7 linked regions of the Mus musculus genome follow. The protein of the gene in region 5 interacts with the protein of the main gene of each other region in a pairwise test. Links are inferred from orthologs where the notes say so. Each region holds a gene or a part of one and is shown on either strand. Other genes may lie near its edges.

The links.
Region 1: the proteins of Khdrbs2 (region 5) and Dock2 interact in binary tests that used the Homo sapiens proteins (3 or more experiments, as listed by UniProt). The two-hybrid records come from large-scale screens. The link is inferred for Mus musculus from reciprocal best matches to the Homo sapiens genes KHDRBS2 and DOCK2.
Region 2: the proteins of Khdrbs2 (region 5) and Cirbp interact in binary tests that used the Homo sapiens proteins (3 or more experiments, as listed by UniProt). The two-hybrid records come from large-scale screens. The link is inferred for Mus musculus from reciprocal best matches to the Homo sapiens genes KHDRBS2 and CIRBP.
Region 3: the proteins of Khdrbs2 (region 5) and Ewsr1 interact in a two-hybrid assay, tested with the Homo sapiens proteins (2 studies listed by BioGRID and IntAct). The two-hybrid records come from large-scale screens. The link is inferred for Mus musculus from reciprocal best matches to the Homo sapiens genes KHDRBS2 and EWSR1.
Region 4: the proteins of Khdrbs2 (region 5) and Hba-x interact in binary tests that used the Homo sapiens proteins (3 or more experiments, as listed by UniProt). The two-hybrid records come from large-scale screens. The link is inferred for Mus musculus from reciprocal best matches to the Homo sapiens genes KHDRBS2 and HBZ.
Region 6: the proteins of Khdrbs2 (region 5) and Ptk6 interact in binary tests that used the Homo sapiens proteins (3 or more experiments, as listed by UniProt). The two-hybrid records come from large-scale screens. The link is inferred for Mus musculus from reciprocal best matches to the Homo sapiens genes KHDRBS2 and PTK6.
Region 7: the proteins of Khdrbs2 (region 5) and Prpf31 interact in binary tests that used the Homo sapiens proteins (3 or more experiments, as listed by UniProt). The two-hybrid records come from large-scale screens. The link is inferred for Mus musculus from reciprocal best matches to the Homo sapiens genes KHDRBS2 and PRPF31.

Annotation. Positions count from the first base shown.
Region 1 is NC_000077.6:34,703,906-34,707,405, reverse strand, and holds part of Dock2 (dedicator of cytokinesis protein 2), read left to right. Parts: intron 1-42; coding exon 43-118; intron 119-892; coding exon 893-969; intron 970-1,510; coding exon 1,511-1,636; intron 1,637-2,696; coding exon 2,697-2,821; intron 2,822-3,500. UniProt on the Homo sapiens protein: Involved in cytoskeletal rearrangements required for lymphocyte migration in response of chemokines. Activates RAC1 and RAC2, but not CDC42, by functioning as a guanine nucleotide exchange factor (GEF), which exchanges bound GDP for free GTP.
Region 2 is NC_000076.6:80,166,496-80,170,638, reverse strand, and holds the start of Cirbp (cold-inducible RNA-binding protein), read right to left. Parts: upstream 2,801-4,143; 5' UTR 2,723-2,800; intron 2,469-2,722; exon of another isoform or gene 2,222-2,468; intron 911-2,221; exon of another isoform or gene 832-910; 5' UTR 826-831; coding exon 723-825; intron 624-722; coding exon 517-623; intron 438-516; coding exon 299-437; intron 215-298; coding exon 133-214; intron 1-132. UniProt on the Homo sapiens protein: Cold-inducible mRNA binding protein that plays a protective role in the genotoxic stress response by stabilizing transcripts of genes involved in cell survival. Acts as a translational activator.
Region 3 is NC_000077.6:5,069,187-5,072,141, reverse strand, and holds the end of Ewsr1 (RNA-binding protein EWS), read left to right. Parts: intron 1-499; coding exon 500-622; intron 623-983; coding exon 984-1,146; intron 1,147-1,418; coding exon 1,419-1,516; intron 1,517-1,661; coding exon 1,662-1,914; intron 1,915-2,020; coding exon of another isoform or gene 2,021-2,038; coding exon 2,039-2,078; 3' UTR 2,079-2,455; downstream 2,456-2,955. UniProt on the Homo sapiens protein: Binds to ssRNA containing the consensus sequence 5'-AGGUAA-3'. Might normally function as a transcriptional repressor. EWS-fusion-proteins (EFPS) may play a role in the tumorigenic process.
Region 4 is NC_000077.6:32,275,383-32,278,616, reverse strand, and holds Hba-x (hemoglobin subunit zeta), read right to left. Parts: upstream 2,018-3,234; 5' UTR 1,954-2,017; coding exon 1,859-1,953; intron 1,049-1,858; coding exon 844-1,048; intron 738-843; coding exon 609-737; 3' UTR 501-608; downstream 1-500. UniProt on the Homo sapiens protein: The zeta chain is an alpha-type chain of mammalian embryonic hemoglobin.
Region 5 is NC_000067.6:32,413,722-32,417,221, reverse strand, and holds part of Khdrbs2 (KH domain-containing, RNA-binding, signal transduction-associated protein 2), read right to left. Parts: intron 2,352-3,500; coding exon 2,205-2,351; intron 1-2,204. UniProt on the Homo sapiens protein: RNA-binding protein that plays a role in the regulation of alternative splicing and influences mRNA splice site selection and exon inclusion. Binds both poly(A) and poly(U) homopolymers. Phosphorylation by PTK6 inhibits its RNA-binding ability.
Region 6 is NC_000068.7:181,197,207-181,199,789, forward strand, and holds part of Ptk6 (protein-tyrosine kinase 6), read right to left. Parts: intron 2,557-2,583; coding exon 2,393-2,556; intron 2,025-2,392; coding exon 1,871-2,024; intron 1,336-1,870; coding exon 1,174-1,335; intron 1-1,173. UniProt on the Homo sapiens protein: Non-receptor tyrosine-protein kinase implicated in the regulation of a variety of signaling pathways that control the differentiation and maintenance of normal epithelia, as well as tumor growth.
Region 7 is NC_000073.6:3,636,485-3,639,984, reverse strand, and holds part of Prpf31 (U4/U6 small nuclear ribonucleoprotein Prp31), read right to left. Parts: exon of another isoform or gene 3,324-3,500; coding exon 3,234-3,323; exon of another isoform or gene 1,355-3,233; coding exon 1,227-1,354; exon of another isoform or gene 1,128-1,226; coding exon 1,055-1,127; exon of another isoform or gene 410-1,054; coding exon 281-409; exon of another isoform or gene 197-280; coding exon 98-196; exon of another isoform or gene 50-97; intron 1-49. UniProt on the Homo sapiens protein: Involved in pre-mRNA splicing as component of the spliceosome. Required for the assembly of the U4/U5/U6 tri-snRNP complex, one of the building blocks of the spliceosome.

The sequences.
Region 1 (3,500 bases), on a different chromosome or scaffold from region 5:
CCTGGCTGAACTAACATCCGTTCACTTCCTCTGTCTTTCTAGTTATGGACATCACCGACATCATCAAGGGCAAGGCAGAGAGCGACGAAGAGAAGCAACATTTTATTCCATTTCACCCGTAAGTCACTCCCGTGTGGCTCCAGGCTGTCCACCCTACTCTTACTGCTGCCCTGGGTGAACTTGTTCCTCCTCTTAGTAAGGGGGTAGGTGGGCCTCCAAAGAGGGCACCCTGACATGCTAATGATCCAGAAACTTCTACTGCAGCCAGAGGAAGAGTGCCAGGCTCAGGGGTGAAGTAGTAGACAAGGTCAATGTGACCCTGCTTATACTTCAGATGGGTAATTAAGCAGATAATCAACCAAAGCTTAAGGCATTAATTACAAGTGTAGCAGGGACCACAGAGTGTGAAGGAGCAGCCTATTGGGAGCCCTTTGTGGAAGCCACATATATATTTGTGACATGAGAAGCAGGGGCAACCAAGGAGGTAATTATAATTTTTTTTTTGCTTGAAAATGACCCATGTTGAGAGCAGTGTCAAGATTGAGCACCACAAAGATCTCCAGGTAATGGAGCCAGTGACTCTAGCCAAAGGTGAGTGACTAGGTCTTCCGGAGCTACTGAAGTCCTTGTTACCTTCCAGAGAAGACATTCATGTCAGAGCCGTAGCGATCTCTCCTGTCACATGAATGCCTACGACTGTGGCAGTCATTGGTTGCCTCAAATCGCAGAGCCATACTGTTTGTGAAGAGGGTGTTGCTTTCTCTGAGCTGACATGGAAGGCTCACTTTGCACCTAAGTGGTGCTAGATATCTCCCATGTGGAAATCTAGGACACAAGATGGAGCTTCCCATCGGGCAAAGCAGGAACATTTGTGCTCTCTTTTCCTTCCTAGGGTCTCAGCTGAGAACGATTTCCTTCACAGCCTTCTGGGCAAAGTCATAGCTTCCAAGGGAGACAGTGGAGGGCAAGGTATGGAGTCACCATCATACAGAGTCCAAGTACGATAAACTTGCTGCAGCTCAGGAGCCTCTGCGACATCAGTAAATGGGTCCAAGTCCTGGACTAGACAGTACAGTGGGAAGCATGTGGTCTGTAGACCACCCATGGAAGCATGGGATGGGCATTCCTTTCATAAGTGACAGTGAGGAGTTGCTCTCTCCTGTGTGCTGCCCTTTAAGTTACAAGTGGTTTCATCCTTACCCAAGTCCTGGGATACATGAGCTGGTATCCTCTCTGCTTTAGGAGACTCGGGTGCAGAGATTGTAATAACTGTCAGAGGCTGACCCAGCTATAAGTGAACGTTGCCCAGAGCCCCTGGGGTTGGCCTGTTGCATCTGTGAATGTATCTGTTATTTCAGTAGTCTCCTATAGGAGAGATGGAGGAGAGGAAATTGGGGAGGGGGAGGAGAAAGAGGAGGAAGAGGAGGAGGAAGAGGAGGAGGAGGAGGAAGAGAGACAGAGACAGAGAGACAGAGAGACAGAAGCTGAATGTTCATGTGTTCCCTTCCAGGCCTTTGGGTGACCATGAAGATGCTGGTGGGGGACATCATTCAGATCCGTAAAGACTACCCACACTTGGTGGACAGGACCACTGTGGTAGCCCGAAAGCTGGGCTTCCCAGAGATCATCATGCCAGGTGGGACACAGCTGCAGTGACCTTCCTCAAGGGCAGGGCCATGAGCAGGGCTGAGGAGTCCAGCTGTGTAGTTCATAATTTCCTAAGAGTCAACTCCCTTTACTTTATTCCTCTACCTGAACAAAACCACTGCAAACCATGTTTTCCCATACAGTAACATAGATCCCCTTTCTCCCAGTCCTTCTTTATAGGCACCGCTACTTTAATAAGCATTTTTGGAGCTCTGCAACTTGCTTTGTCAGTCAGAAGCTCACGGGTGGCATCTCTGTTTTACTATTCATACCAAGATCCCATTTTACTCGGGGGGGGGGGGGCGGAGTGGTGCTACTCTCCAGCTTTTAGAGCATATTTTATAGTCTGAAGGACCCATGCTTACAGTAACATGTCCAAACGCCATACAAGGTATTCAGAAGTCCCCGCAAGTCTCTCTGTGCCTCTCCTATTAACTAACCATGCCTATTAGTGCATTCAAGACATGCTTGAGGCTTTTCATGAGGCAGATTGTGTAATGACACGCCCTCTGACTCATCCTTTTCTCTCCTGTAGCTAAGTGGTGGTGGTCCAGGGTGGGGCCTGTACTGTGATTTAATGATATCTGCTTTACTTGAGATCTCAATGTCTGCTGTTCACTCCCTTCGGGAGCTCACTCAACCTGTGCTCCTGGCCCTTCACCCTTAGACTCTAGGATTCATGGGAAATCCCTCAACCCTACTTTTGTGCAACAAAAAGGCCTATCCGTGGTTGAGGGCCAAGCTCATTTCGCTTGGTGCTTTCCTTTACCTTCCCAGAAGGTGTCACTAGAGGATGGAAATGCAATGGTTTGAACAGAGAAAACATGGCCAGTTTTGAGCACCCCACCTGGCTTTCTGCTGCTGATTTTTCCAGCATTCCGACCCTCCCTTGCTACTTACATCTCCATCCCTCCTGTCAGGTTAAAAAAAATGCCCTTTCTAAACTGCTCGGATTTTCATTTTATTAATGGTCCTTCCTGCTTCTCCCTGTCCCCTCCACCTCTGTGGTTAGTGCCTGACTCTAACTCTGGTCTTCTCTCCATCCTTAGGGGATGTCAGGAACGACATCTACATCACTCTCTTACAAGGTGACTTTGACAAGTACACCAAGACCACACAGCGGAACGTGGAAGTGATCATGTGTGTGTGCACAGAGGATGGCAAAGTGCTACCTGTAAGGGACTCCAGAGTGCTGAGTGACAGGACCCGGGGCTGAGGGACTGATCATAATTATCTGCTCTCTGAAGGATCAGAGTTTTGGGGAAGACATTGAAACACATGATCTATACTGTGTAGCTTGCTTAATACCTTGTTCTAGGGTCTAATTAGAACCTATGTTAATTAGTCTTTTTACCTAAGCATTCTTCAATGTATACTTTCCTAATCTGTGTCTGTGTGTATGTGTATAAGTGTGTGTGTATGTGTGCCCACTCTTGTTTATAGGTTATCTTTTTTTGTAGTTAAAAATGTTGTTTTCATTGAAGCCCAAGCTAGTTTAATTCAGGCAAAATCCATGGTAAAGATCAATACAGAGCCCTGGGCTGGTGTGGAGGTTCAGAATGTCTTCAAAGCAGACATCCTCAGCACTAAATCCAACTCCGCAGCGCTCACCCAGAAATCTAGGTGGAAAGTCTTATTCGCAAATTGGTCTCCAGAGGGTTAGCAGCATGCATTCAAAAAGGCAAAGCACATGGTTCTATTTACAGAGCATATGTCCTGTGCAATCGTTGTCATGTGTGTTTATATCTATTTGCTTATGTTTCCTTTAAGGTTGTCAGCACTTGTGTCCAGTGTGTGGGAGGGTTTGCTTCTGAATTCTTCCTCTCTGAATATTTAGCTGAAAATGAGATCAT
Region 2 (4,143 bases), on a different chromosome or scaffold from region 5:
CAAGAGTTGGTTCTCAGTAGAGAACAAAACCAAACCACCTACACTAGTCTGCCCTTCCCCTGGTGCACCCTCCTCCCAGGCCCAGCTGCCACCACCGAGGCTGAGCCTCCCCAAGGCTCCCATCTGGCTCACCTGGCATAGTAGTCTCTGGAGCCTCCATAACCCCCACTCCGGGACTCAAAGCGGCCACCTCCATAGCCCCGGTCTCCTCCTCCTGTAGATGATCGAGAACAGAGTCAGGGAGTCCCTACTCCTGCTGCAGTGCCACCACCAGCTGCCAAGGCACCCCAGCACTCACCTCTGGAGAACCCTCGGCCCCGGCTTCGTCCCCCACGGAAAAAGCCCCGGCCTCCAGCAGAGCCACCCCGGTATCCTCGGGACCGGTTGTCAGAAGACTTGCCAGCCTGGTCAACTCTGATCTGCCGCCCGTCCACAGACTGCAGGAGAAAGTTAGGGTCACTGTACCCGATTCCACACCAGACCTATCCAAGGTAAATTGGCTGACCTGATCCTCACCTTCCCATTCATAGCCATCATGGCGTCCTTAGCGTCATCGATATTTTCAAAGGTGACAAACCCAAAGCCTCGGGATCGCTGGGTCTCCCTGTCCTTTACCACCACCACTGCAGGAGAGAGACATTAGATGTGCCCAGTCAGCCCTCTGCCCCCCACCCCCACCCCCAAGTAGAAGCCGAGAACAATGATCCTGACCCAAGACTCACCTTCGGAGATCTGCCCATACTTGGAGAAGACCTGCTCCAGCGCCTGCTCGTTGGTGTCGAAGCTGAGTCCTCCCACGAAAAGCTTGCCTTCATCTGATGCCATGGCAGCCTATGCACACACCATAGATGTTTGCCTTAACCACCACCCCTTCCAGAAACTGAAGCCAAATAGCATATTTAAGAATATGCTTTTCAAAAAAAAAAAAAAAAAAAAAAAAAGAGTAACATATTTTATGTGCACTGGTGTTTTGTCTCCATATATGTCTCTGATGCTGTCAGATCTTGGGAGTTAGTTATGAGGTGCCATGTGGGTGTTGGGAATTGAACCTGGGTCTTCTGGCAGGCAGGCAGTGCTCTCAACCCCTGAGCCAACTCTTCAGCCCCCCACATTCTTTGCCTTTAAAAAATTGAGACAGTGTCTCCTTTTATAGTCCAGGATGGCCTTGGAACACCTGTAAGGATAAGTCACTGAAAGCTTTAAGGAGTTAAAGCTGCCTCTTCCCATCCCTTACCTACATATGTATGTATGTATGTATGTATGTATGTATGTATGTATGTATGTATATAAATAAAAGTAACCCACAGCTGGACATGGTGGTATATGCCTTTGATCCCAACACTTGGGAGACAGAGGCAGGCAGATTTCTGTGAGTTTTGAGGCCAGCCTGGTCTGCAAAGAGAGTCCAGGATAACCAGGAGTACACAAAGAAACTGGGGGGGGGGGGCTAGGGGGGAAGCATGGGGGTGGGGGGAGAGGACCCCATGGTCTTACTGGGAAACCTCAGCTTCAAGTGGGGTTTCTTTCACACCTCTCATCCAGCCATTCAAGTCACCGAGATGGGAAGATCAATGAGAAAAAGGACACTGTGGATCAGTTTGAGAGACTGTTTCAAAACAAATACCCATCTCGCCTAGCCTGTGGGAGTTGGAGGCAAAGGAACAGAATCCAAAACCAAATACAATTGCACAGCAAGTTCAATACCCTTCTGGGCTACACAAGAGGGAACTCTTTTTGCTTTTATCATCCCAAAGGCATATGGAATACTTTGTCATACAGCTGAGGCTAACCTTAAATGATTCTAGGTCTTGATTACACCTGGCCAGAGAATCCCAAGGTTAGGATCAAAATGGCATGGTCACTTTGCAAATGTGTGTGGTTGGGGACAGAAATGATAGTGACTGCCTACCCTCACTAGCATAGAGTTGTTGGGCCAGAGAAACTTCACTACTGAAATACGCTTTTAGGGTACTGTCTGGAGGTGTGCCAGTTGTGGGATGCCTCGCTTACTCAGCCAAGGACTAGAGAAATGTTTTTGCACGATGGACTCAAGGGAGAAAGGAGGTTGGCCCAAGAGGCGTGGCTAGCGAAAGGGGCGTGGTATCTAGACAAAGTCATTATTGGCAACCGACAACTTGGAAAATAAGTCCACTATACCACGAAACCAGTCTACCTTGGGGGCAATAAACTTGGGGCACAAAAGGACAACATTCAAGCCTACATGTGCTTTTTTGTTCCCCACGTGGAACCACAAGGGAAGAGAAAACCGAGGTAGAGCCAGCTGGAGTAAAAGGGTCGCACGCGACACAGCTCCACATCTGCGGACAACCGGACTTTGGAGGTAGGAGCGCCCCGCCCCCGGAGCAGCGCATGCGCCAAGCGCGCACCCTGCGCCATTCCATCCGGGCACTCGGCAGTCCCGCCATTTCGCCGGCGAAGCTTTTCAAAGCATCGCGGCGGCCATTTTACAAAAAAAAAAAAAAAAAAAAAAGCCCACCGTTAAGGTCGGCCTCGGCCCGGGGATGACGCGCGGTGGAGGACGCCCTCCGACAAGCGTGAGGCCCCAGTGTCCCGCTGCCCGCCTCGCCGCCGGCGGGGCGGACTCCAACCCGGGCCCGCCCCCAAGTCCCAGGGGCGTGCCGCTGCGGCTCCGCCTCGCCCGAGAGTCACAGGCCGCCCGCCGCCCCGGGCCCCTCAGAGCCGGTGCCGCCAGAGCCCTCACCGCTGAGTCGGGCAGGTCCCTGACGCGAGCGGGAAGACAGCGCGCCACACACACCCAAGCTTCCTAAGGCGCGAGTGCGAGGGGGAGCGCAAGAGTCCCGCCTGATATACTCCACTCCTGGAGCCACGCCCCTTAACCCGCCCACCACGCCGCGCTGACCAATCCGACGCCTTAGATTCGGCATCTGCGCCTCGGTGGAGGGGCGGGACTCCGTTGGCTTTGCCCTAGTCCGCGCGGAGGCGCTGAGTGTTTTGATTGGCTGGAATCTTTCCTGGCCGCATTTTTCCCCCCCACCCCCCGCCCGCTAGCGACTAGGAGGCGGGGACAGCTGATTTGGAGGCGGAGCTGACCCACTTCCGCGTTCCCGACCCGTTTGTCCTGCGGCGGGGAACAAAGAGCTTTTGCTACCTCAATGAGACTCCCAAATATGGCTCCAACCTTGACTCATCGACTCAACACTTTTATGTTCTTTTTTTTCTTTTAATATTTAATTACAGTTATTTAACTGAGGCGCATTTGTGAAGCCAGAAGACAGATGGAGTCTCTCCTTCCATCATGTAGGTCCTAAGGATCATACTCAGGATTAGCCACAAGCAGCTTTATCCACTGAGTCATCTTGCTTGCCCCTCTTCTCCGTTCTTGCTCATGAAACCAAAACCACCGAATTACTCTAGTCCAAAAGTACCTCCCAATACAACTGCTGCCTAACAGTTCTTTGGACCCCAAGGACACTCCATAAGATCAGCCCTAAAATTTCCATCCCAGTATTAATCACAATGTCAAGATTTTCTCTAGATTTCCTGCACCCAACTCAGTTTTCCTACAAATCTCAACCTGCTGTATAACGACCATTTGAACCCTGATTTCTGCCCATCTCCAACCAGGTGTACATTACCACACAGATGGCAAAACACCACTCTTTTCAATGTGTACCTGCATTTTCTAGAAGAGACCCCAGAGTCTCAAGCATGCCATGGAAGGATTTCTATCCTTGAGCCACACCCCTAACCCCTCACTGCAGAATTCTAAGTAGTGGCTAAACCAAGCTACATCCTTAGCCTTCTTAAACACACACACCACAGAGAACAAAACAAAAAAGTGTATTTTAATTTTATGTATATGGGTGTTTGCCTGAATGTCTATGCAGCACTTGCCTATCTTGCGCTGACAAAGACCAGAAGAGAGTGCTGGATCCTTTGGATGCAGAGGTCCAGACAGCTGTGAACCTTTATGTGGATTCTGAGAATTGAACCCACGTCCTCTGCAAGAGCCCTTTACCACTAGGCCATTTGATCCTTTGAGACAACCTACATTTTTCAATCTATCCTTGAAATCCGTAGGCTCACATCCCAAGTAGCTGTGATAACAGACCCATGTCTCCAGGCTACATTTTCTTCTCCCTCCACTGTGGTTTTGAGAGT
Region 3 (2,955 bases), on a different chromosome or scaffold from region 5:
ATGTGGGCAGGCTGATTTTTAAACCTGACAGTCCTGCAAAATTCTAGAATTACAGGAATGTAGTTTAACATCTTTTATTCTCATCTCAGCAGTGAAGTTGTTTTGTTTGTTTCATTTTCTTTCTGCTTGTGTAAGAATCTCATGTAGTCCAGGCTGACTCAAACTCCATCTGTAGCTAGTACTGACCTTTGAGCTTCCTGATCCTCCAGTCTACTGCTGCTTCCCAAATGTGGAGATTATAGTCCTAGGCTAATTGGCTGCCATGCTCGGTTTTATGTGGTGCTGGGGATTGAACCCAAGCCTTTGGCCGTGTTAAACAAGCCTACCAACTGTGATACTTTCCCAGCCAGACCAGGAAAGAGCCTGGAGGTTGTGAGGGGCCAGGTTTCATGCTTCGGGAAGTCTGGAGTTGAGTAAGGTGGAGTCTGCTGAAAAGTGACTGCTCAGAGAGGGATGTTTGGAGTGTGAGGCTCACTGATGCTCTCTAATCTTTTTCCAGGGAAAGATTTTCAAGGAAGCAAACTTAAAGTGTCTCTTGCCCGAAAGAAGCCTCCAATGAACAGCATGCGGGGAGGCATGCCACCTCGTGAGGGCAGGGGGATGCCACCACCACTTCGTGGAGGTATTAGGCACTTTGTTTTAGCTATTGTGCTGTTATGTTAAACGGGGTTGGGTTGGGTTGGTTTTGGTTTTTTTCCCTTGAGAAACTTAGTTGAATAATAAACAAAGAAAAGGTATGTAAAATTGATACTAGGCCATTGAAAGCCAACACTGCATTAATAATATGGGTTAACTAGTTAGAGGGAGTGGAAGCTCTAGAGAACATCTGCCCAGATGTCAATTTCCTTCTATGAAAATGCCATAGTTGGAGGCTACATGAAATGACGCAGAAAGAATAGTGTGTGGATAGCACTGTGAGTTTACAGGAGAGGGCACCATGACAAAGCTGCTATAGAGAGGTGATGAACTGTTTGTTATTGCAGGTCCTGGTGGCCCAGGAGGCCCTGGAGGACCCATGGGTCGCATGGGAGGCCGTGGAGGAGACAGAGGGGGCTTCCCTCCAAGAGGGCCCCGAGGCTCCAGAGGAAACCCCTCTGGAGGAGGAAATGTCCAGCACCGAGCTGGAGACTGGCAGTGTCCCAATCCGTATGTACTTCTCCCAGCAGATTGCGTGCTAGTGATGACACCCTCTTCCCACTCTGGGACGGGACGGGACGGGACGGGACGGGACGGGGGGGGGGGGGGGGGGGGGGACACACACTCAGCACTGACTGCTTCTGGAGGTTCAGGACGGCCTGGGGTTGTCTGCAGGTCCTTGTGCTTTGTGCCTGAAACTCCATAACTGTGTAGAGTGTGGTGTGAATCTCCACCTTTCTCAGTTCTCTTGGTGATTTCTATTGTGATATAACTTTATTCAGGGGCTGTGGAAACCAGAACTTCGCTTGGAGAACAGAATGCAACCAGTGTAAGGCCCCTAAGCCCGAGGGCTTCCTCCCGCCACCCTTTCCACCTCCGGGTAGGTACAGGTTTTCTGGAGCACTTCAGCTTCCTGGTGATTGAGTAGTGTCTGCTCTAGGAGAAGGATTAGCAGATCTACCACAGCAGGTCTTCAGTCTCGGCTTTTACTCCTGACTCACCTGTCACTCTTGTCTCTGCCTTAGGTGGTGATCGTGGACGAGGTGGCCCTGGTGGCATGCGAGGAGGAAGAGGAGGACTCATGGACCGTGGTGGTCCTGGAGGAATGTTCAGAGGTGGCAGAGGTGGAGACAGAGGAGGCTTCCGAGGTGGCCGTGGAATGGACCGAGGTGGCTTTGGTGGAGGAAGACGAGGTGGTCCTGGGGGGCCTCCTGGACCTTTAATGGAACAGATGGGAGGAAGAAGAGGCGGACGTGGAGGACCTGGGAAAATGGATAAGTATGTGGTGGGAGAGCACTGCCCCTTCCCAACCTCTGCTGCAGTGAGTCCTGGGGTGTCTGGGGTCTCTCACAGGGTTTTCTGTCCTTTCTCATTTTGACCTAAGGGTCCCTTTGCTTTGCAGAGGCGAGCACCGTCAGGAACGCAGAGACCGGCCCTACTAGAGACCTGCAGAGCTGCATTGACGACCAGATTTATTTTTTAAACCAGAAAATGTTTTAAATTTATAATTCCATATTTATAATGTTGGCGACAACATTATGATTATTCCTTGTCTGTACTTTAGTATTTTCACCATTTGTGAAGAAACATTAAAACAAGTTAAATAGTAGTGTGCTGAGTTTTTTTTTGTTGTTGTTGTTTTTTGATTTGTTCTTTTTTTTTTCCTTTTTAAGATGGTTGTTTTAAGACTTAACAATGGGAACCCCTTGTGAGCATGCTCAGTATCATTGTGGAGAACCAAGAGGGCCTCTAATTGTAACAATGTTCATGGTTGTGATTTTTTTTTTTAAATAAAATTCCAAATGTTTATAAACTGTCATCCTCCTCCTCTGTTCTCGTGTATGTCCAGTTCTTTCCAGCCCTCGCTAGATGGGAGCAGAAGCTTGTGATGCCCTCGAAGATGCCCACTGGAAACCTGTGCTCGCATCTCCAGCTCTTGGCTTTACTGGGTCATTTGTTCCCTTCCAGAAGGCTCTGAGATGACTTATCATCATTCCAACTCCCACTATCTGAATTCACAGGATCGCCCTGTGCCTTTGCTGGGATAGCAGACCTGATCGTGTCCTCTGCAGTGCCAAGTGGTCACTCTAGTCCTTTGCTGCCTTCTTCCGGACTTCAAAATGGGGCTTTCCCACCCAGCTCATTTATTTATTTGGTCTTTTCGAGACAGAAACCTCTGTGTAGCCCTGGCTGTCCTGGAACTCACTCTGTAGGCCAGGCTGGCCTCGAACTCAGAGATCCGCCTGCCTCTGCCTCCCAATTGCTGGGATTAAAGGCATGAGCCACCACTGCCCAGTTTATTTTTTGTTTTTTAAGAGG
Region 4 (3,234 bases), on a different chromosome or scaffold from region 5:
GCCTTGATTCGCTGAACTCAGCAGAAACACAGAGCCCTTCGCGTGTCCGCAGAAACATGCCCAGAGAGAGGCCAAAGGATGGGACTTCTGTCATAGACTAAGTCGTGTGAGTGCGAGCCTTCGCTTTGAACTCGCAGAACCTGTAATGACTCCTATGAAGACAGTTACCGGAAGTCTTCTTATCCTTTAGGGACAGGGACACCCCCTACCTGCCAGGGTGGCAGAAGTTATGACATCAGACTTTGAGGAATACCTGACGCCCACCCACCACACTGTGCGAAGCGATTTGGGAAGGTGAGAACTCCAGTCGCAGGCAGGTCTGACTGTGGGCGGCTCTGCTTCTGGCCAGCTGTGACTCTGGGGTTCTCCAGACCCTCCCCTAGCCACCTTAGGAATGTCCTCTAGGCAGTGCATAACCGCAGTGTTCCTGCCAACCTCAGTGCATCCCGTAGTGTCCCCATCCCTGTTTCCCTCTGAGACCGAATACACAGGACCAGTTATTTCCTTCTTCAACCATTTATTAGGGATTCAGGGAAAGACCTGAGGGAGGGTTCAATAAAGGGGAGGAGAGGGATCATAGCTGGTCATGGGGGTCGTGGCGGTGGAGCTTAGCGGTACTTCTCAGTCAGGATAGAAGACAGGATAGACATGAACTTGTCCCAGGCTTCGTGGACCTCAGGGGTGAAGTCGGCGGGAAAGCGTGCGGCCATTGTGACCAGCAGACAGTGGGACAGGAGCTGCGGAGGGAAGGGAATTTCAGTGCTCAGTGCAGCAGAGACCCCACCCGCTTTTTTTCCTTGTCTCTTTCTCTGCTGACCTCTCCCTCCCTTCTCATAAACCCACCTTGAAGTTGACCGGATCCACACGCAGGATGTAGGCATGCAGCTCGCTCAGCTTAGTCAAAGCACTAGAGAGGTTGTCGATGCTCTTAACCGCATCCCCTACGGCGGTCATGATCTTGAAGCCGTGGGCCCGCAACTGCTGAGACCCATGGTGCAGGTCGAAGTGGGGGAAGTAGGTCTTCGTCTGGGGGTAGCTGCAGAAGAGCCTAGGGGCCGGGAGAAAGCGTTAGTTTTACAAGTAAGTATTGGTTAGGGAGAGGGCTAGGACACTGGCTCTTGCCTTGGGCTCAAAATGTAAGGGATATACAAATTTAAAGACCTACCAGACAGAAAACAAAGTAGTGGTTTACATAGTATTTAAGGAAATGAAATGCAAAAAAATGTACATTGAATAATACAAAAAGCATTCGGAGAGATGGCACTTACTGCCCTGGAGAGAATGCACTACTGTCCGTAACTAAGATGCAAGGGGATTTGATGCCTCTAGCTTCTAATGGCACCTACGCTTGCGCTCTCTCTCGCTCTCTCTCTCTCTCTCTCTCTCTCTCTCTCTCTCTCTCTCTCACACACACACACACACACACACACACAAAATCTTTTAAAAACAACCCCAAGAGCGATGTTACTATTTCCTATTGCACAAGGGTCTACATGGCAGATCCCTGTATCCACTCTGTATCCACTCACTCTCTATCCACCTATAGCTGTTTATTCATCCATTCATTCCTATTCACTCAACAAATACCTGAGGAGCCACATGGAAGACTCTGGTGAGCTCTGTGAATGCCAGCCCACCTCCTTTAGCAGCTTGTCTGCCTGCCTGGATCCCCTCCTCACAAGCTTTGATCTCTCAGTCCTCTCCACGTTGTCCTCTCTGCCTCTGTCCTTACTGTCCTGACCATACTGTCCTCATGACCCCTTCTCAGTGGCTTCTCCTCACTAACTGCTCTTTGTCACTTCTGTCTCACCAATCCCTCTTCTGACCTGCTTACTCAAGCCATGGTGCCTGGACTTACCTCTCTAGAGTCTCAGTGCCAATGGGCTCGGCCTGAGCAGCCATCTTCTCCCACATGGACATGATGATAGCTCTCTCATTCTTCATCAGAGACATGGTGGTGGTGGTGGTGAGGGTTGGAGGCTGCGCTGGAGTTGAGTGCACTCAAGACTGGCCTGATGGTGCTTGTCCCCAGTGTCTCCTTTATATACACATGGTCAGGGACCTGTCAGGCTGTGGCCACTGGTTAGGAGAGGGGAGGGGGCTTGCAGGGTGGAGCCTGTTATCAGAGCCAGCAACAATGGGAATTAGGGCTTGGTGGGACTGTAAGGGCAAGTGCTATCGCTCTTGCCCACTGCCCATGGCCTTAGGAGGGGTGTTGGCCTTAGTCCCACACAGAATCCAGGAGAGATAGGGGCCCAGCCATGTCAGGAGGTCATTCTTGTATCCAGACCTGCACTGTCCTTTCTCATTTCAGAATCACAAATTGTCTGAGCCATCCCTGTCACCTAATGTCAGTGACTCTTGGGTTCCCTCCAAGGAAGCAGTAATTCCTCTCACTTAGCACTGAGGGAAGATCATGGAAGTCTGCTCTCACTAGGAGGAGTAACGGGTCAACAAAAGATCTCCAGTCTCCAGCTAGCCCTCCATACCAACCAATATACAATGAAATGCACAGTTCTCTTAGTTTTTATCTTAACATGGAGATAGGTTGGTTTGCTCATTGTCCTGGACTGACACATATATAGATCTATGTAGCTCCACCATCTTAAAACTCCACAGCCACCCATTTGGAGCCCTCATCTTCCTCTTGCTCCTAACCTAACCTAATTCATCCTTTTCAAAAATGTGTGTAACTGGAATCATACCATATTTTACCTTTTTAAGACTGGCTTTCTTTCCCCTTGTATAATATCCTGTAGATCCATCTGCTTTTGTATTCACCAGTAGTTGGCTACTTTTTATTTTGTGGTATGAATATGCAGCAGTTTGTCCTTCGTCCACATTCACAGAGAGACCTCTGTGTGAGCTTACAATTCTATTTCTCTATATCTGTGTCAGTTGATACATCTGTATCTAAGAGTAGAATTCCTGGCATATGCAAGGTGTATATTTAATCTTATAAAGAATTGCCAAACCATTTTCATGAGTGTCCTTACTACTTTATATTCCTATGTATCAATGCCAGCCTTTTTTGAATCTTAGCTGTTGGATAGGTAAGTAATGATATAGCATGGTGGCTGAAAACAGAATTTTTCCAATGGCCAGTGATGGAAGATCTCTCTGGGTGCCTATTTTTCATCTTTGGTATTGTCTCTGCTCAAGCACGTTGTCTACCTATAAAAGGTACCTTGTGCACATTTCAACTGGGCCATTTTCTTACCAGTGATTTATAGA
Region 5 (3,500 bases):
AAGACCATTGAAAACCACAGATATTTACATGACAACTATCACAGTTATGAGGTGGGAATGGAAGTAATTTTGTTGCTGGGGTCCACCACAACATGTATAACTGTATAAAAGGTTTGCAGCACTAGGAAAGTTGAATAAACTACTGTGCTAAATGAAGAAGAGATAATGTTGGCTCAGAAATAAATTAACAACCATGACAACCATTTATGTTATAGTGCATACAAAAGAAATGAACTGATTAAAAGGTATGATATATACGACAGGGTTGTGTATCATTTGCATTTACTGTACCAGGGCATGTATTCTATGTTCAAAATATATGCATCAAAGACATACTAAAATGAACATTATATGGGTTGGCAAGGTGCTATTTAGGAATAAAGTAACAATTAGTGAAAATAGAATCAATGAACTTGAAGTAGATGAGGGAGGCATATATGGGAAAATATGAAGGGAGGAAAGGTTATATATCCAAACAAAAAAGACATATTACTATATCTAACACAATTTTTTCCTCAGAAAGTCATCCATTGTTTTTCTACTATGATAAATTTAAAAAGTAAGTTTCTACACTGCTTTCTCATTTTAATCACCTTTTGCCTGCATTATCTTGTTTAATATTCATAAAGGTTATGACTGAATCAATTGTGATTACTTTCGTTTTAAAGATCCATAAACGGATGCTAAACATTTAAATAACTTCGCTAAAACTATACAATGAGTTTGTGATATAAGGAGGCCTGGCCTCACTACACATACATGTATCTGGTCTGGTCTACACTAAGTTGACTAAGATGCCTTACTTATCCTTGTGCTAAAGATTCCCCTGGAAAGCAATGGAAGAAAGAACACAGGATCATCAAGCTATATTATATATAGAGATATATTTCTGGAGGTTTCCAGATGAGACCCAATTAATAACCATGCACATGAAGTTAAAACATACTCAGATTAGTGTGCCATTATTCTGTAATTGTGTCTCGACAAGATTAATGTTTGGATCAGACATATAACCAGAAACTGTCGCTAGGCCTTGCTGTTTTTACACGTAGAAAATTCTATGATACTTTTGGTTTCTGGTTTTCAAAACCACTACAATGAATGAGTTGTAAATGTCACATTCTTTGAAGTTTCTACTGAGTATACAAATCTCCAGTTTCTTCATTTGCAGATTAATCTCAGTGAGGCACTCTCTGAGCTCAGGATTTCTTCAAGATCTTCCCAGGAATGTTACTTGTCATTCTCTCAATATCTCAGCACTGAACCTCATGGCAAGATTTCTGTTGGAGGACCTTTTCCTAGAATGTGCACAATTTTCATCTTTAAGACTCCATGCATTTACCTCCTCCTACTTCTTAAATATCAGTAGAGAACTCCATTCAATTTGCAGTTGAATTGGCAGGTGAGCATCCTCTATTACTCTAATACTGAATAATGAGTTTATATTTGTAATTTTTAGGTTAATATTTATTTGCCATCATTAATATAAACTTATGCTCTGTTTTGTATCAGCCAGCACCTGACATACTATCACCTAAAAATCATTTACTATTTGAAAGTACTATTAATGGCTTGTTATAAATAATATTCAATCCCATCCTCTTTTTACTGTACTTTTGTTTTCCAATTATAAACATGTTACATGTTAAGGCCTTCAAACAGGGAAAGGTGGCTTCAATAATGTATCTTTTTCTTATTCTTTCTAGCTGTGGACTGGTGTATACTTTGTAACTGATTGGTGATGAATACTTTTGTCAGATTAGTTGACAATGTCAACAAGACAGGTCTTCCAGTATGTACCTTGTATTATCGACTCTACACATGGATAACTAAAGAGCCTTGAACTCATTGGCACAGGTGGGAATTTCCTAAACAGAACTCTAGTGGCTCAAGCTCCAAGATTAAGAACTGATAAATGGGACCTCATGAAACTGGAAAGATTATATAAGGCAAAGGACATAGTCAATAGGATAAACTGGCAACCTACAGATTGGGGAAAAATCTTCACTAACCTCACATGCGATAGAAAGCTAATATCCAAAATATGCTAATATCCAAAATATATAAAGAACTCAAGAAGCTAACCTCCAAAAAAAAAAAAAAAAAAAAAAACAAACAATCCTTTCAAAAATCAATGAAGATCAAAGACACAACTTAAAATAGAAACTGATGAGAAACCATTTGTAAAATCAAAAGTCACTTACAGGAACCAGGAATTTTTTAATCTCTTCCAAGGCATGACTCATCCGTGAATAAGCTTCCCCGGGTGGAGCAAACACTTCAATTAATACATGCAGCTCATCACTCAGGTGGGCATACTTGGCCTCCCCACTCTTCCTCAGCTCTTCTTCCTGTGAAGAAGTTATATTTTGACATATGGATCCACTCATTTTGCATTAATTTAACATTTCTTGAGAACATGACAAAGGGCTACCATGTAAGCAAATTTTCCAAAGGGAGAAAGAAATTCTTTGAGAAATAAATATCTGCTGCAAGACAGTTAACCATTTTCAAATCATTTTCAAATTTGGATTTTTAATGGCACCTGCCATTGTCCTCAGCTGCACAATTTTTAACCAGTTTAATGAAATGTTAACCTTGTGAGGGTGAGACATTTAAGTGATGTTTATTCTTGTACAAACATCACTGCATTTTTTGAGGACAAGGTTCTTTTTTTATCTGATGTAAAGTACTTTTCAAATAATAAGTAGATGACCATTGAGTTGCACAGGAAAATCCATTTTAATATTTGCAGAAATTACATGAAATATTGGTGGGAAACAAGGGCTCATCTTTCATGCAGTTCCCCCACTGCCAAAATATCACAGAGAAATACAAGAAAAAAAAGACAATACTTTTAGAATTTCAAATTGGACAAACTTTGCTTAAGAAATATAAAGAGCTAGGAAGTACCTTTCAAAATAATCACATTTATAGTCATTAGGGAAACAAAAATCAGAACTACTTTAAAATGCCATCTGACTCCAGTCAGAATGGCCATTGTTGTGATTGCAATGCCAACACTGTGTGTGTTGTTGTGATAAAGGTGAAATATTTTACACTGTTGGTTTGAGTGAAAGCTAGTGTAGCTACTCTGGAAATCAGACCAGAATTTTCTCAAAAACTAGAAGTGCCATATGTCCCGATATTCTAGGCCACACCCAAGGACTTTCTATCATTACAGGGACACTTCCACTGGCACTCTTTTGGCACTAGCTGAAAATGTACCCAACCTAGACATTCAAAAACAGATAAGAAGGTAATAAAAATATGGTATATATAGCAATATAATTCAGCTGTATTGATAACCAAAATAGCCTAATTTTCAGGTAACTAGATAGAACAGGAAAAGATCCTAATTTCTGAAGCCATGAAGGACAAAGGGCACCAGTTCCCTCTCATAAGTGGATTCTTATTTCAGGTCTTTTGTTTTCCATATTTAAGTTGCAGCCCAGGTAGAAGTCATGGAAACTCAGAAAAAAAAAAAGGTATTAGCAAGA
Region 6 (2,583 bases), on a different chromosome or scaffold from region 5:
GCAGCTGGCTTGGCTTAATTGCAAAATGGGAAGGCCTAGACCTTCTGCAGCTATGTACCTAGAGACAAAGAGCATATTCTTTGTCTGACACCCTTTCTGGGAATCATAAAGCAATCTAAGGTCAAGAGCATTGCTGCAAGATATTCTTGGTATGTAGCCATTGAACACTCTAGATAATGCGCAGCCAGCAAGTACTACACCTACAAGGGGCATGAGTTTCATCTCTGGAGACTTCTTCCTGCAGAAACTGCTTATGAGATCAAGCTCTTTATGAGAAACACAAAGAAAGAGAGAGAATTTAGAATTTAGAGAGAAGCTGGTGGGCTAAGGCAAGTCACTAGCAGGCTACACAAGCCTATAGTAAAGTAACCTCAGCTAACTGTGAGGATAGAAATTGTGAGGGAGAGTTCTTTTCTGTACTTTTTCAAATTTTATGATCAGCAATTGGTAGATTTTTTTTGTACTTAATAAGACCATTTACTTGTCTCTTTTGTTATGTATGTATGTATGATGTGTGTGTGTATGTATGTGGAAGTCAGAGGACAACATCGGGTGTTAGTCTTCACCAGTGACGTGTTCCAGGATGGTTTTGTGGTTTGCTACTGAGCCAGATAAAACAAGAATTCTCCCATTGCCTCCCATCTCACCGTAGAAGCCTAGGGGTAACAGAAGCCCGCTCCTGTGCTTGCCTTTACACTAACTAGTTCTGAGGATTCAGACTCAGGTAACAGAAGCCCACTCCTGTGCTTGCCTTTACACTAACTAGTTCTGGGGACTCAGACTCAGGTCCTCGTGCCTGCCTAGCAAGCACTTCACCCACTGAGCCATCTCTCCCACCATTGGTTTTTTTTTTTTTTTTTTAACGATTTGTATGTATGAGGCAATGTAGCATGTGTGATGTAATGCATGTACTCATTATTAAGGGTGTGTGCACATGTATACATGTGTACATGTGCATGTCTTTCCTTGATTGTTTTATATCTTTGGTTTTGGGGGGTTTGGGGAGGGAAAGGAGAAAGGTTTGAGACAGGGTTTCTCTGTGTAGCCCTGGCTGTCTTGGAGCTTGCTCTGTAGACCAGGCTGGCCTCAAGCTCAGAGAGCAGGCTGTCTGTGCCTCCAAATGCTGCCTCCAGCACTTTCACCCGGGAAAGGAGACTGGAGCTTTGCACGTACCACGCAGTAGCTGCAGCAGGTTCCCCTTGGGCATGAGCTCCGTGATGATGTAGACCGGGTCCCCTGCAGTCGCCACAGCGTACAGTGACAGGATGTGCTTGTGCCGCAGCTTCTTCATGGCCTGAATCTCAGCCTGGAAGGTGTGCTGGTGCAGGAGATTGTCTGAGAGACATCAACCTCAGTGAGTATAGCCCTCGACCTGTGCCCCAAACAGGATCCTGGCCCAGACCTCCTGAAGCAAGTCAGGCAATGTGGTCAGCCTAGGAAGACAAAGGCTGGCCTCCAAGCTACCACACTAAAGCCTTCCCCACCCCGAGCCCTCAGTGCCCCAAGACTGATGTGTCCATTTGCCCTCCTGTGCCCAACTTGGTCACAATTGCCAAAGTCAGCATTTCCCAGCCAGATGTTTTCAAAGTCCTGGCTGACCTGATTCTTGAGGTTTCAGGTATAAACCTGAGGGTGACGTTGGGATTTGAGATGAAACTCACATTTCCAGTGACTTGTTTAAAAACAAAAACAAAAAACAAAACAAAACAAAACCAGGTACAATTGAAAGAAGTTACTCCCACCATGATGCTGTGGGTGCCCAGCAAGTGTGTTGGGATACCCTCAGTGGGGGAAGACTGGAAGTGCCTACTAGAAGGACTAGTGGGGAAGCAGCACGTGATCATGTTGAGTTAGTCCTGGGCCTGCTCACCTCTAGAGATCACCTTCACAGCCACATGGACCTGGCCTTTCCAGAGCGCTTCAAAGACCTCCCCAAAGTAGCCGGCCCCCAGCTTCTTACAGAGTGTGAACTCCTCCCTCGGCCTCTCCCAGTCATCCCAGTGGGGCAAGGGCTCAGTTTTGTGCTGGAGAGACAGAAAGGGCAATAGGAATGGGTAGGAATGGGGGCTGGGTCGCCCAGCTTGTCTTCAGGAAGGGCTTGCTCCAACCCCTCATGAGGAGCTCTATTTATTATTTATTATTTATTATCTATTTTTTTAAATTTAGAGATAGATCCAGTATCTGGATATCCTCATAAAATTGCTGCTGTCTTCATCCATCAATGTTAGGGACTGGTCCTCAGCAGGAGCACATCTGAGCTCTGGTGAGCCAGTGTAATAAGAGCAATAGCCAAGGAGATTGCCCTGTCCTGTGCCCCCATCCCCTCCCCCCCATATTATACCCTACCAGTAGGACCCTGGGCAACTATGTCACAGAGGAGCCAGTGGCCTACCTTCCAGCAGGGCATGGACAGCTGTAGGCCATGAGACAGGCTCTGGGTCTTATGGTAGTCCACAAGCTCAGACAGATTGGAGAAGGATACCGCCTCATTCAGGTGCAGCCGGCCCTCGTTGTTCTTCCAGATCCTGTAATGTCGCACGGCCTGAGCATCCCGGACTGGGGTGGGTGGCCGGCGGAAGGAGA
Region 7 (3,500 bases), on a different chromosome or scaffold from region 5:
CTTACTGTGTGGTTGTGGATGCCTAAGCTCATGTGCTATATCTCAACAGATCTCCACAGCAGCCTTATCATATGCCTGGTAGAAAAGGGTATGGTACCTGGAGTGGAGTGAAGGCCACACTGGAGGCAGTCCCTGAGGAGCGGTCACGAATTGTTGACTTCCCACCATACACCACGCTCTGTTTCTGTAAGGTCCGCTGTAGGGAAAGGGGAGGCTGGGATCCAGGCTCACTGACCTCCATATCCCACCTGCCTCCCATTCTCATGGGCCCAATCCATACCTGCAGTGTCTTGGAGATCCTGGCCTTGGTGGCCTCATTCACCTGGGTCTGCCGCACACGCCCACTGCCTGACTTGCCCAAGTGGCCCAGGCTAAAGCCCAGGTCTTCCTGATAGGCATCCTCCTCAATCTGGTGAGACGAGAGCAACCTGCGGTTAAGAAGCTGGGTACATCCAGCCAGTCCCCTGAGGCAGTCACCTGAGAACCCAATCAGCCAGTCTCATGGACACCACCTCATCAGCCAGGGGACTGGCAGCATTAAGTGACCTAATAAGAGCCTACCCTATTGGCCAGAGTCCATCATCCTTAGCAGTATGTAATTAAAGCTCGCTTCACATTTGTCTCAGAAAAGAAAAAACAAAAACAAAAACAAGAGCCTATCCTACCTCTGTTTGGGTATAGCTAGGAACCCTGGGAAGAACTGGTTCCTGACCTGAGTAGAGTAGCCATTTTTTCTCTACATCCACATTAAGTTGCCAAGAATTGGGATGAGCCGCGCTACTGAGGTGGCACCTAAGCGGATTCTTTCAGGACCACCTAGATGACAGTCAGATATAGAAGCAGCCTGGAGAGCTGCGTGGGAAGCCAGCCAGCTGAGAGCTGCAAAGATCACCATGGAGAAGGTGGTTTAAGAGGAGAGGCTAGACAAGAGGGAGGAGGGTTGGGTAGCCCCAGATCTGCTCTCAGATTACAGGGTGGGGAGGAGGGATGGCAGCAGGATGTGCAGAGAGAAGACCCTAATATGGTCCCACTGGTACTGTGGATCAAGCCTGACCTCTCCAAAGCTCATGCGGTTGGCCTGCTTCCGGATCTCCGTCAGTCCTAGCCGTTCCTTCATCTTGCGGTACCTAGGGCAAGTGGGTGTTAACAGGATATAGGGAGCTGGCTGGGAAGAAGTTGTTTCCCTTCCCCACTTCCAAACGTCTAGCCCCATCAGAACTCCTTACCTTCGGCCCCCTCGCTTCTTCCGCTGCCCATCAAGGGGTGCAGGCAGGGGCTTCACCTGCTTCACGGGTGGTGGCTCCTGCCACTTATCAAATTTGCGCTCAATCTCATCCTTTAGTTCGTAGCCCACCTAGGGGGGAGTTGAGAAGCGGTGGCCAGCCATGTAAACTGTCCCCTCAGCCAACATCTATATATCATCAACCCATCTATTGTGTATCTGACCACCTGACAGTGTGCCCTCCCCAAGACATGTTCTTCACGTTTGTCCAGGAATGGTGCTCTGTGGGTTCCAGTGCCTAGTGCTCCTTGAACTTGTAGCTCAGGTTCAGTCCTCATATCTAAGCTCTGCACCCTCTGGATAATTGTCTCTGTCTGAGTCCTGGGCCAGGCAGAATCCCTGTATTCTCTAGTCAACAGACAGCGTGTCATCTCCACTGCCTTACTTCCACACCACAGATCCCCCTGGCCTCTTAGAACAGACCCCAGCTAGCCTGCTTCTCAGTGCCTCTACAGCAGCCAGAGGCCCTCAAAGGTTGTACACATTATCTGCTCCTGGAAGCAGAAGGCTCCTCTCCCTGCTGGGGTTCACTCAACTCTGGCCTCAAGATCTTTGTACTCACTATTCACTCTGTCTGGAGCACTCTTCCAAGTGGATAGCACAAGTAGCCACACGACTGACTATAACTTCACTCAAGCCCAAATTAAAACGTCCTCAGAAGTTTTTCTTCACATTCTCTGTCATCAGAGTCTAAGCTTCCTAACCCCACAGCCCCCCTGATTGCCCCTGGCATTCACAAAGCACCACTGAACCCACTACAGACTTTTCAGAACTACTGCCTAGTTGTTTTGGTCCCAGCTAGAACATAAATGCTGTGTGACACAGCAACCTCCAATCCTAGCTAGCAGCTGGAGCAGGAGGATCAAAACTCGTTCAAGGCTTTCCTGGACTAGAGATAAGACATGTCTCACAAAAGGGTGAGGGTGAGCTGAGGATGTATAGATCTTATAGATGTATGTTCAGTGGTACAGATCAGTTGTCTAGAACACGTAGAGTCCTAGGTTCAATCCCAGTATACCCACCACACACACACAAAAGCCACTGAGGCAGACCTTTGACATCTATATAACCCCCTGCTGTACTGCCTTGTTTAGAAAGTGGCAAAAGGCAAAACCAAAGACTGAACCTCTGACCTGGGCTATGATGTAATTTCTAGCAGGGAAATGCACACAGTATTGTTTCTTAAGCCCACACAGAAAAATAGATGGTATCACTGGAATCATGTCCCTGCTAGTACAGGACAGGTCCTACTATGGTAGGCAAAATACTGTCCCTTCCAACACAGGGCTACACCTTGGTGTCAGGTGTCCTGGTCTCTAGGATCTGTGACTACATTTTACATGGCAGAGGATCTTTGCACAAAAAGCCAAAGATCTGGTATCATGGCTTCTACACCAACACCTCACCTATCTCCTGAGACAGGGTCTCTCACTGGAACTTACTGATTTGGTTGCCAGGCCCACAAGCTCCAAATGCCCTCCTGCCTTCACCTTCCCAGAGCTGGGGTTAGTTACTGATGTGAAGTACTCTGCCTGCTTTCTTTTTTCCCTTAACCTGAGTTAGGAATTGAACTCAAGTTCTCATGCTTGCATGCAGGAACTGAAGTGATGGAGCCGCATCTCCAGCCCTGGGCTTTTTTTCTTTTCAAACACAGGATTTCACTATGCAGCCCAGTCTGGCCTGAAACTTATATAACCCAGACTGCCTCAAACTAATGATCTTCCCACCTCTGTCTCTCAAGTATTGATGTTAAAGAGGCCTAGCCAACTTTTATATGAAGCTACTCCATCTATAGTGAGTTGTCATAACTGATACAGAGCTGAGAATGTGATGGCCTCAGTAGGGGTTGCAGACAGACACATCTGTCTGCTAGTCAGAAGAGGTCTCTGAAGTAGCATCTTCCCATGAAAAGACCCCAAGCACCAGGGACAGATGCCTGTCCTCTCCTCACCTTCCCTTCTGTGCTCTCATGGAAGCTGTCCACACGAGCTGCCAGTGTACACTTGGCAGCCACTAGGCGGGCCGCCTTCCGCCGGAGATCCTGGAGCAATGGCAAGGAGAAAGGAAACTGAACCTCTAGAGAAGGTAACAGCCACTACAATAGTCACTCCTCATCTAGGGCAGCCATACCCCAGACTCTGGGAGGTAAGCCTCATACCCGTGGGCTCTTCTAATAACAGCCTCTTGAGGGGTACACTCTGGCTGCCCCCCAGTTTCC